Linked DNA regions of Caenorhabditis elegans. The protein of the gene in region 1 purifies or fractionates together with the protein of each later gene. This does not show direct contact. Each region holds a gene or a part of one and is shown in the gene's direction. Other genes may lie near its edges.

Region 1 (3,411 bases):
CGTATTACTCACATTTCCTCCAAAATTGAAAATGAATTTAACATGTAGTCAATATGACCAACAAACTACTTTGTCTATTTTCTCCTCAACGTTAAATTCAATCTGTACAATCTTTCCTTATCAAATACACAACCACCTTTGATCACTCTCCTACTCTTTTTCTCTCTTGAAAATTTACTTTGACTACGTGTGTTCCGAAGACTACAAACCATAGATTCTCTTCTCTAGCATTCTCTAGCCCCATTTGACCATACTGGCGAACCTACTTTGGTCTGGTGCGAGAGCGTATAGCAACTGGTATAAAAGGCTACGCAGCCCTAGACTTATTTTCATTTCGTTGCATATCGATCGATAGGAACGGATCCACGTTGCCTGCGTAGCCTGCGTACATTAATCCCTTGGCGGTCACATCTCGCCCTTCATCTCATGCACCTTCCCCTTTTCTTGTTCTATCCAGGTCATCCCAATTTCTGTTTCTCTCCAAAGTTGGAATGAATAGACGCAACTATTTGTGAAATCAACAAGTAGATAGTTTTATTTTTCAGCTTTAAATTAAGTAAAAACTAAAACATTAAAACTACCGTTACTTATAGAGTTGGATTTATTTTTTCTATTTGCCTTTTTAAACACTTCCACTAAATTTGAAAATTGAAGCTTTTTTTTTAAATTTATTTTTAAGATTCTGATATAAACAGTTGTTTTGAGATGATTCGTTTATTATACAGTTTTTAGTAGAAATATAAATGTACGTTTTTTTCGACTAATTTGTTTCTTTCTATTTGAAGCAACGTCTTTCAAAATATTGAGATGTTAGCTTTACGTTTTTAGAATTAAAATAAGGACTCTTTTTCACGTGGTGTCATGCTTTCCCATCGCGGTTTGATCTACAAAAAAGCGGGAAATTGTTTCCCAATAAAATGCGACGTCAGCAACTTTGTGAAATCACTTGAGAAGTCTGTTTCTAAATTCCCGCAATTCTTGTAGATCTGCGTAGATCAAACCGGAATGGGACACTCTGACACAACGTTTTTTTGACAATAATGAAGTATGACAATTTGAATCGACTAGTCAACAGTCTGAAACCACTACAAACCGAACAAAACTGCAGGTGTTTTTTTTAAATTCAACTTTCAAAAAATATGAATTCTTGAATAATTGTCTGTGATCCGCAGGAATCCCCCGAATTCCTGAAGAACGGATTGACTAAGTAACTAACTAACTAAGTAAGTAAGTAAGTAAGTTCATCATTTTTCATAGAATCTCTACTTTTAAACGTTTTGGTTATTATACACATGTTTCGAAATCACAAAACTAACATTTCCAAAGTGTTCCCAAAATGTGCTTTATGCTCATGTTCTGTTGTCATGACATCAGGTTAGAGTATAGTCTCATTGCCTATTGATCATCGCGAGGCCACCCTCCCAGGCACACTACTCCTTTTGCCCAATTCTCTCGTCCATTTCTTCTCCGCCGTTATTATTTGTTTGTTCAAATTGTCTCTCTGCTCTCTTTCCCATGTTTCTCTATTTCTCCTTTCAACTTGGTCAGCTATTTTTCTCTCTTCATCCTTGACACAATTGCTGCTGTCTTTTCTGTCTTGTATTGCAGGCCTGTATTTTAATAACATAATTTAATATGTTTTTTATTGCCATACTTCTCATATCTATATATTTTTTAATAACACGAAATGATTTTCAGAATGGCCGATCTTAAGCAAATCACCCTTAAGGAAATTGCCGAGCACAACACAAACAAATCAGCATGGCTTGTAATTGGAAACAAGGTGTTTGATGTGACCAAGTTCTTGGACGAGGTAAGATTATGTTCTGATATTTAGAAATCCGTACTCGAAGCACGTAGGCAGACATAAACCACACTTTACGGTACGAATAACACAAACGCAGATTCATTGTTGATCAATAGAAAGAAATTGACATCTATGAAAAATGAAAAGGAATTAAATTTTTTCTCTGCAATTGATAGGATTTCTTGCTCAAAAATTTTTAGCATCAACTTTATCAAAAATAGCCGTTACCGTCTCTTTCAAATATGTATTCTTATTTTATCGTTAAAACAAAATTTACTGTTTGATACAATCAAAACCATGACGATTAAGATATCGAAATACTTGAAAACAAATAGGGGCAAAAATTCCCGAATTTTTTGTAGATCAAACCGTAATGGGACAGGCTGGCACCACGTGGCGCATCAAAACTAAAAATTAATAATGTTTTTTTTTCAGCATCCGGGAGGTTGCGAGGTCCTTCTTGAGCAGGCTGGAAGTGATGGAACTGAGGCATTCGAGGATGTTGGGCACTCCACTGACGCTAGGCATATGAAGGACGAGTATTTGATCGGAGAAGTCGTTGCAGTAAGTTTTTGCCTTTTTTGCTTATAATTTTCATTCATTTGTTTTGTGTTCCAGTCTGAGAGAAAAACCTACTCGTATGACAAGAAGCAATGGAAGTCTACCACCGAACAGGATAACAAGCAGAGAGGAGGGTAAGTAGGGTTATACTTTTATTTTGAATTTGAACTTTTTTAAAAATGATTTTAAAAGTTAACTTTTGACTAAACGCTGCATCTCAGCTCAGAATAATAATATTTTTTCAGAGAGTCAATGCAAACCGACAACATTGTTTACTTCGCCCTTCTTGCTGTCATTGTTGCTCTTGTTTATTATCTTATCGCTGCGTAATCACTGTTGATCCACTATTTTCGCCATGATTTTGAAAACTGGGGCATTATCTTACTTAAAAAAAACTGATTTTTTTTTCATTGTTATCCAATAAATGTCATTTTGTGATTTTATTATCGAAAATAAATACATCACTGTGATTAACATATGTACACTGAAAAGGGACTTTAATATTTTGTTTTCATTTCGATCGAAATGATAATGATTGAATGGAAGCTGGTGTTGAAGAGGACGTTTTTGACGATGGAGGTATGTTTGGAACTTCGTGGGTTACTGGATCATTGATCCAAAGATTCTGAAATTAAACAGCTTTTATGTTAGCTAACTTGGAATTAGTTACTGTGGAAATATCTTTCCTCCAAAGCAACACTGCTTCGTCGGCGCCAAACTCTCCAGAGCAGGTAAGAATGTGGTGCTCGCTGAAAAAAATTTCTTGGATATGCCATAAGTTCCTTGTCATGAAGTGAGTGAATGTTGCGTGAACGAAAAAAAATCTTGAAGTCGTTTATATTTTTCTATAACACTTACTTAGTTAACTAATTAACTAAGTTAGTAAAAACATTACCCAATATTTAGCTTCAATTTCTCAATTCAATTTTGTAAAAAAATCGCTTTAACAATTGTTGAAAAAAAAACTTTGTTCACAAATTGCGTCATTCCAACTGTGTGAACTCTTGAAACTTTGCTCACCCGCTAGAAATTATCTTTCTGAC
Region 2 (5,266 bases), on another chromosome or scaffold:
TATGAACTAGAACAAGGTTGAAGAGAAATGCAAATTGTACAGAAAATATGAGAAGGGAAATAAATATACACTAAATTGGATGCTATGAGACGGTGCAGTTGGAATTGGAATTTCTTGTTTGATGCGGCGGTGCAACTCGATTGTATTCTTCTTGTTGTAGAGAACGAGCCAGAGCTTCATCTCCCTGGAAACATTTGTGATTTAGTTAGTTGTTTTTTTGAAAATAGATACAAACCTCTGTTCTTGCTTGTGCGGAACATGGATTCATTCGGGAACGCGCGATTGATGTGATTCTGGAAAAATACCTTGAAATTCGATTTATTCAAAACAATAAACTTACGAATCCGTCCAGCTCTTTTTCTGATTTATCTTCATTTCGCCAACTTTTCGCTCACAACTGTGATCCCGCTCGTGTCTGTGAGAAAGGCAGTAGTTGTTTCGACATTTTGAGCAATTCATGGCTACCAGCTCTTTCTTCTTGCATTTTGGGACGGTACACGCGTTTGAATATACTTTTGCACGTTTCGGAGTCTGACAATTGTTCTGAATGTGCTCATTGACCTGAAAAAGAAACAATTTTTATCAATATTTTTGCAGGAATAATTTCAAAATAATTACTTGTTGATCAACATTGACATCTTTCGGCGTTGGAACTGGCTTCTCACATATAGGACAAATAGGAACTTGAACGGACTGAAATTTAATAATTTTAATCTAAAAAAAGATTTTCAAACACTTACAATTCTTGAGCCAGTCGGACAATTATGAGCCTCAAATGTGAAGTGCTCTGAGCAGTAGAAATGTCCACAACCGGAGCATTTGATTGGAAGAAAATCTGAAATAATTATTTTTTTATTTAATTAATTTTTTTTAAATGTTGACTTACCAAGTCTGTTGCAAACTGTGCTCTCACAGTGCTTTCCGAGATTTGGGAACTCCGCCATAGCTGAATAAAGCAAACGATATTGATAGGAAACGAGAGAATATAGACTTTTAAACACAAGAAATGATGACAATTGGAAAAATTCTAGAATTTACCAGAAATGCCAGACATCGGGTTACGAAATTATTGATTTTTATATATTATTGAAAGCTTTTGGACTTTTTAGAACGAGAAAAAATTGAATAATTCAATTTCAAGATTTTTGAAATCAATATCAGCTGATTCGCTAGAAAACGTGACGCTTTCAGTATTTCGTGACGTCACTGCGTACAGCTGGATTAAAGGCGCATGACATTAAACGTGCGGTGGGTCTCACAGCGAAACCGCTTTGCACCTCCTTCTCCCGCTTTTTTTGATTTTCGTCTCTCGCATTTGTCCCAAAACCTTTCATCTTTTTCTGTTTTTTCTTTCTAAATTCGATTTTTCGAACGATTTAAAAGTTGTTTTTCCCATTATTTTTCCCCCTTCTTGCACGGTGTGACGCAAAATACTCACTTGGTTATTTTGGCCCCACTTGTGTTTTATAGGGTAAAACAACCGAATTTCGTCGAAAATTTGGGTCTCTTCAATCCGTCCGTTCTCGTTTGCTACTCGTTTTCTCAGCGCTGCGAATCAATTTAAAACTTGTAATTCGTCAGCGCGTGCTTCTGTATCAAAGGAAGACGAGCCAAACGAGAGGTCTACTAATCGAAGTCGATATTTATTTTCGCAGCAGCCGTTGCACGACCAGAAGTTCGCATTTCAAACTCATATAAAAAAGACAATGGGAGACAGAGGATAGTAAGTTGACTTATCGATTATTGACGTGCATAATTGTTTTTCTTTTTCAGCGGAGGTTCTAGAAGCTATGGAGGAAGCAGCGGTGGTGGATCCCGCGGAGGATATGGAGGTGGAGGCCGTGGTGGCGGCGGCGGAGGATACAGCGGTGGTCGTGGTGGTGGATATGGAGGAGGTGGCGGTGGAGGCTACGGAGGAGGTGGTTATGGCGGCGGTGGCCGTGGAGGAGGTCGTGGAGGATCCAATGGTTCAGCTGGAGGACGCCTTCGCGATGTCGACTGGTCTGCCGAGAACCTTACTCCGATTGAGAAGGATTTCTATCACGAGAATGCAGCCGTATCCCGCCGTGAGCAGTATGAGATTGATCAATGGGTATCAGCAAATCAAGTTACTCTCGAAGGCCGTGGTGTCCCACGCCCGGTTTTCGAATTCAACGAGGCACCATTGCCAGGACAGATTCACGAGCTTTTGTACGGAAAGTTCCAGAAACCAACAGTTATTCAGTCAATCTCCTGGCCGATTGCCATGAGCGGACGTGATATTATCTCTATCGCCAAAACTGGTTCCGGAAAAACACTTGCCTTCATGCTCCCAGCTCTCGTCCACATCACAAAACAGGCTCACCGTCAACGCGGAGAAGGACCAGCCGTTCTTGTTTTGCTTCCAACTCGTGAATTGGCTCAACAAGTTCAAGAAGTATCAATCGATTTCTGCCACTCGTTAGGACTCAAGATGACCTGTCTCTTCGGAGGAGCATCCAAAGGACCACAAGCTCGTGATCTCGAGCGTGGAGTTGATATCGTTGTTGCCACTCCGGGACGTCTTCTCGATTTCCTTGATAACGGAACTACCAACATGAAGAAGTGCTCTTACTTGGTTCTTGATGAAGCCGATCGTATGCTTGATATGGGTTTCGAACCACAAATCAAGAAAATCATCGGACAGATTCGCGTAAGTTGAATCTGTTGTAATTGTGTTTTAATATATATTTTTTCAGCCAGACAGACAAACACTCATGTTCTCCGCCACATGGCCAAAGGAAGTTCGTGCGTTGGCTTCAGATTTCCAGAAAGACGCTGCTTTCCTCAACGTCGGATCCCTTGAGCTCGCTGCCAATCACAACATCACACAAGTCGTCGATATTCTCGAAGAACATGCAAAGCAAGCCAAACTCATGGAGCTCCTCAATCATATCATGAATCAAAAGGAATGCAAAACCATTATTTTTGTTGAGACAAAGCGGAAAGCCGATGAATTGACTCGTGCTATGCGTCGCGATGGATGGCCAACTCTCTGTATTCACGGTGACAAAAACCAAGGAGAAAGAGACTGGGTTCTTCAAGGTTAGTTAAAGTTACCAATTATTTTGTTATAAATACATTTTTCAGAATTCAAAGCAGGAAAAACACCAATCATGTTGGCCACCGATGTTGCCGCGCGTGGATTGGGTTAGTTTGTCGCGCCAACCTAGAAAGGGTCAAATTTTAGATGTCACATATTAGAAAAGTCGGTTTCAGGAGTTTCTGGCTTCCAGTTTTCTTGACAATCGTTACAATAGCATGGTATTCAGCCATATTTGTGATTTATTTGACCCTTTACAGTTACACCAACTTGATTTGGCCGAGAGGATTGATCGAAATGCAATGCAGTTGATTTTGGCAGCGTCTTGTGACGTTATCATATCATACGTTGCAGATGTGTAGTGGCAGAGAGTACCTTCTGGTGCTCTGTGAATGAAATCTACACATCGAGTCGAAGAAAGCGGTTCAGTTTCGCAAGCCGCCAGTATTGCAGTCATATACATTGAGTGCTGTTGTGGCTTGTGCAGGCTGTTCCGATGACTCATCAGTGACTCCGTCGAATTTTTCTCCTCTTCCCCATTCCCATCTTTAGAATTCTGGGTTCAGGTGCGTAAGTACGTATAGCTTAGTCAGAGTTGTATCGGCGGTCTCCCTGTGGTGATTGCTCTCAACCTGGTGAACTAGGTTTTATACGCATCTGGAACCTGTTAATAATTAAAAAATTATTGGAATGGATTTATTTCCCGGCTTATCCGGAGAGAGGAGTTTAAATGGCAATTCACTGTTTCGGTTCACTCGTGTTTATTCTTCTTGGTTCACCTGGTTGAGAGAAAGCGTCGTTCACGCTTTTTGCTCTAATTTGTTTTACAGTAATTTTAATTTAACAATTTTAGATGTCGATGATATCAAATTCGTGATCAACTATGATTATCCAAACAACTCTGAAGACTATGTTCACAGAATCGGTCGTACTGGTCGTAGTGACAAAAAGGTAAATTAGTAGAGAAAATTCAATATTTCATGATTTGTTTTTCAGGGAACCGCCTACACTTTCTTCACTCATACAAACGCTTCCAAGGCAAAGGATCTGTTGAAGGTTCTCGATGAGGCTAAGCAGACTGTTCCACAAGCTCTTCGTGATATGGCAAACCGCAGTTACGGAGGTAGCAACTCAAGGGGTCGCTATGGAGGTGGTGGTTTCCAGAAGAGAGGATACGGAGGAAACGATAACTTTGCTCCAAAGAGGCCACGGTACGTGTTTTTGTGATTAGAAATAAAAAAGTGGAATATGATAACGGATTTTTGAAATCGCACCTAATTTCGAATAAAATTAAATCCTGTAATTTTCAGATATGACAACGGAGGATACGGTGGAGGCAGCGGTGGAGGTGGCCGATGGTAGACGATCTACATATCTTCTCACTCACTTCCGACATTTAAACGATAATTCAGATCTCGTTCGTTCGGTTTTAATGGAACTCTGAACTTCTCCTCATTTTTATTCTTTTTTACTTTTTACTTTCTTACTCTTTGTTTTTTTGAGCGTTGTGCCCATATTTTATTTTTGTTTTAATCAGTAACTGTCATCTCCCTCCAAACTTTTAATAATATCCATCTAGTTTTATCATTGCGTTTTGTGTAACTCGGCTGCAATGGAAACAGTTTTGTTTCAAAGATTGTTTCTTTAATATAAGATCTTTTGAAGAAAATAAATATTGATGTTGATGGAAAAAATTGAAATATATTTTTGTGTTTTGGCTGTTGTCCCCCACTTTTCCTGTTTGCTCTTTGTCTTTTCCTATTGTTGGCACGCGGATTTCTTGTTTTTCATTTTTGTATCCTTAAAACGACACAGGCTCTTCAGGTTCTGTGTTCGTCAGTTCTTGTAGGCATTGAAATTCTTCTTCTCGAGACCTTCTTTTCTATTAATTCAGTCTATTCTATTGCAATCGATATGTGAAAAGTGAGAGATAGATGGGCGGCATTGAAGTACAGTTTTCTCGTTGGCGGGGCGCCACAGACAATTGATCTTTTGTAGAGACGATTGCGTCAGTTTTTAGGCCAATCGCATTTTTTTCCTTGCAAACTTGAACAAAAAACTGACATGATCGTTTCGAGACCCAATGGCAATTGACAGATGTGTACCGGAAGTGGAAGCTTTTTGTTCTCGAACATGGTGAGCAAACAACTCTTTTTGCAGTAGAGCTTGTATATTATATGTTTATAAACTAAGTTTTTCATTAAT

What was found. The genes of interacting proteins can lie anywhere in the genome.
Region 2: the proteins of cytb-5.1 (region 1) and ddx-17 fractionate together in Caenorhabditis elegans (co-fractionation; one large-scale study listed by BioGRID). This does not show direct contact.

What each region holds. Positions count from the first base shown.
Region 1 is NC_003284.9:14,000,226-14,003,636, forward strand, and holds cytb-5.1 (Cytochrome b5), read left to right. Parts: upstream 1-1,698; 5' UTR 1,699-1,699; coding exon 1,700-1,813; intron 1,814-2,242; coding exon 2,243-2,371; intron 2,372-2,425; coding exon 2,426-2,502; intron 2,503-2,613; coding exon 2,614-2,698; 3' UTR 2,699-2,855; downstream 2,856-3,411. Other genes in the region: tbc-19 (TBC1 domain family member 2B), read right to left, coding at 2,880-2,993, 3,039-3,117, 3,389-3,411.
Region 2 is NC_003283.11:14,008,257-14,013,522, reverse strand, and holds ddx-17 (RNA helicase), read left to right. Parts: upstream 1-1,581; 5' UTR 1,582-1,706; coding exon 1,707-1,723; intron 1,724-1,773; coding exon 1,774-2,671; intron 2,672-2,717; coding exon 2,718-3,063; intron 3,064-3,108; coding exon 3,109-3,168; intron 3,169-3,321; exon of another isoform or gene 3,322-3,627; intron 3,628-3,914; coding exon 3,915-4,012; intron 4,013-4,057; coding exon 4,058-4,272; intron 4,273-4,371; coding exon 4,372-4,423; 3' UTR 4,424-4,752; downstream 4,753-5,266. Other genes in the region: aip-1 (AN1-type domain-containing protein), read right to left, coding at 83-184, 236-293, 341-561, 619-693, 741-835, 887-944.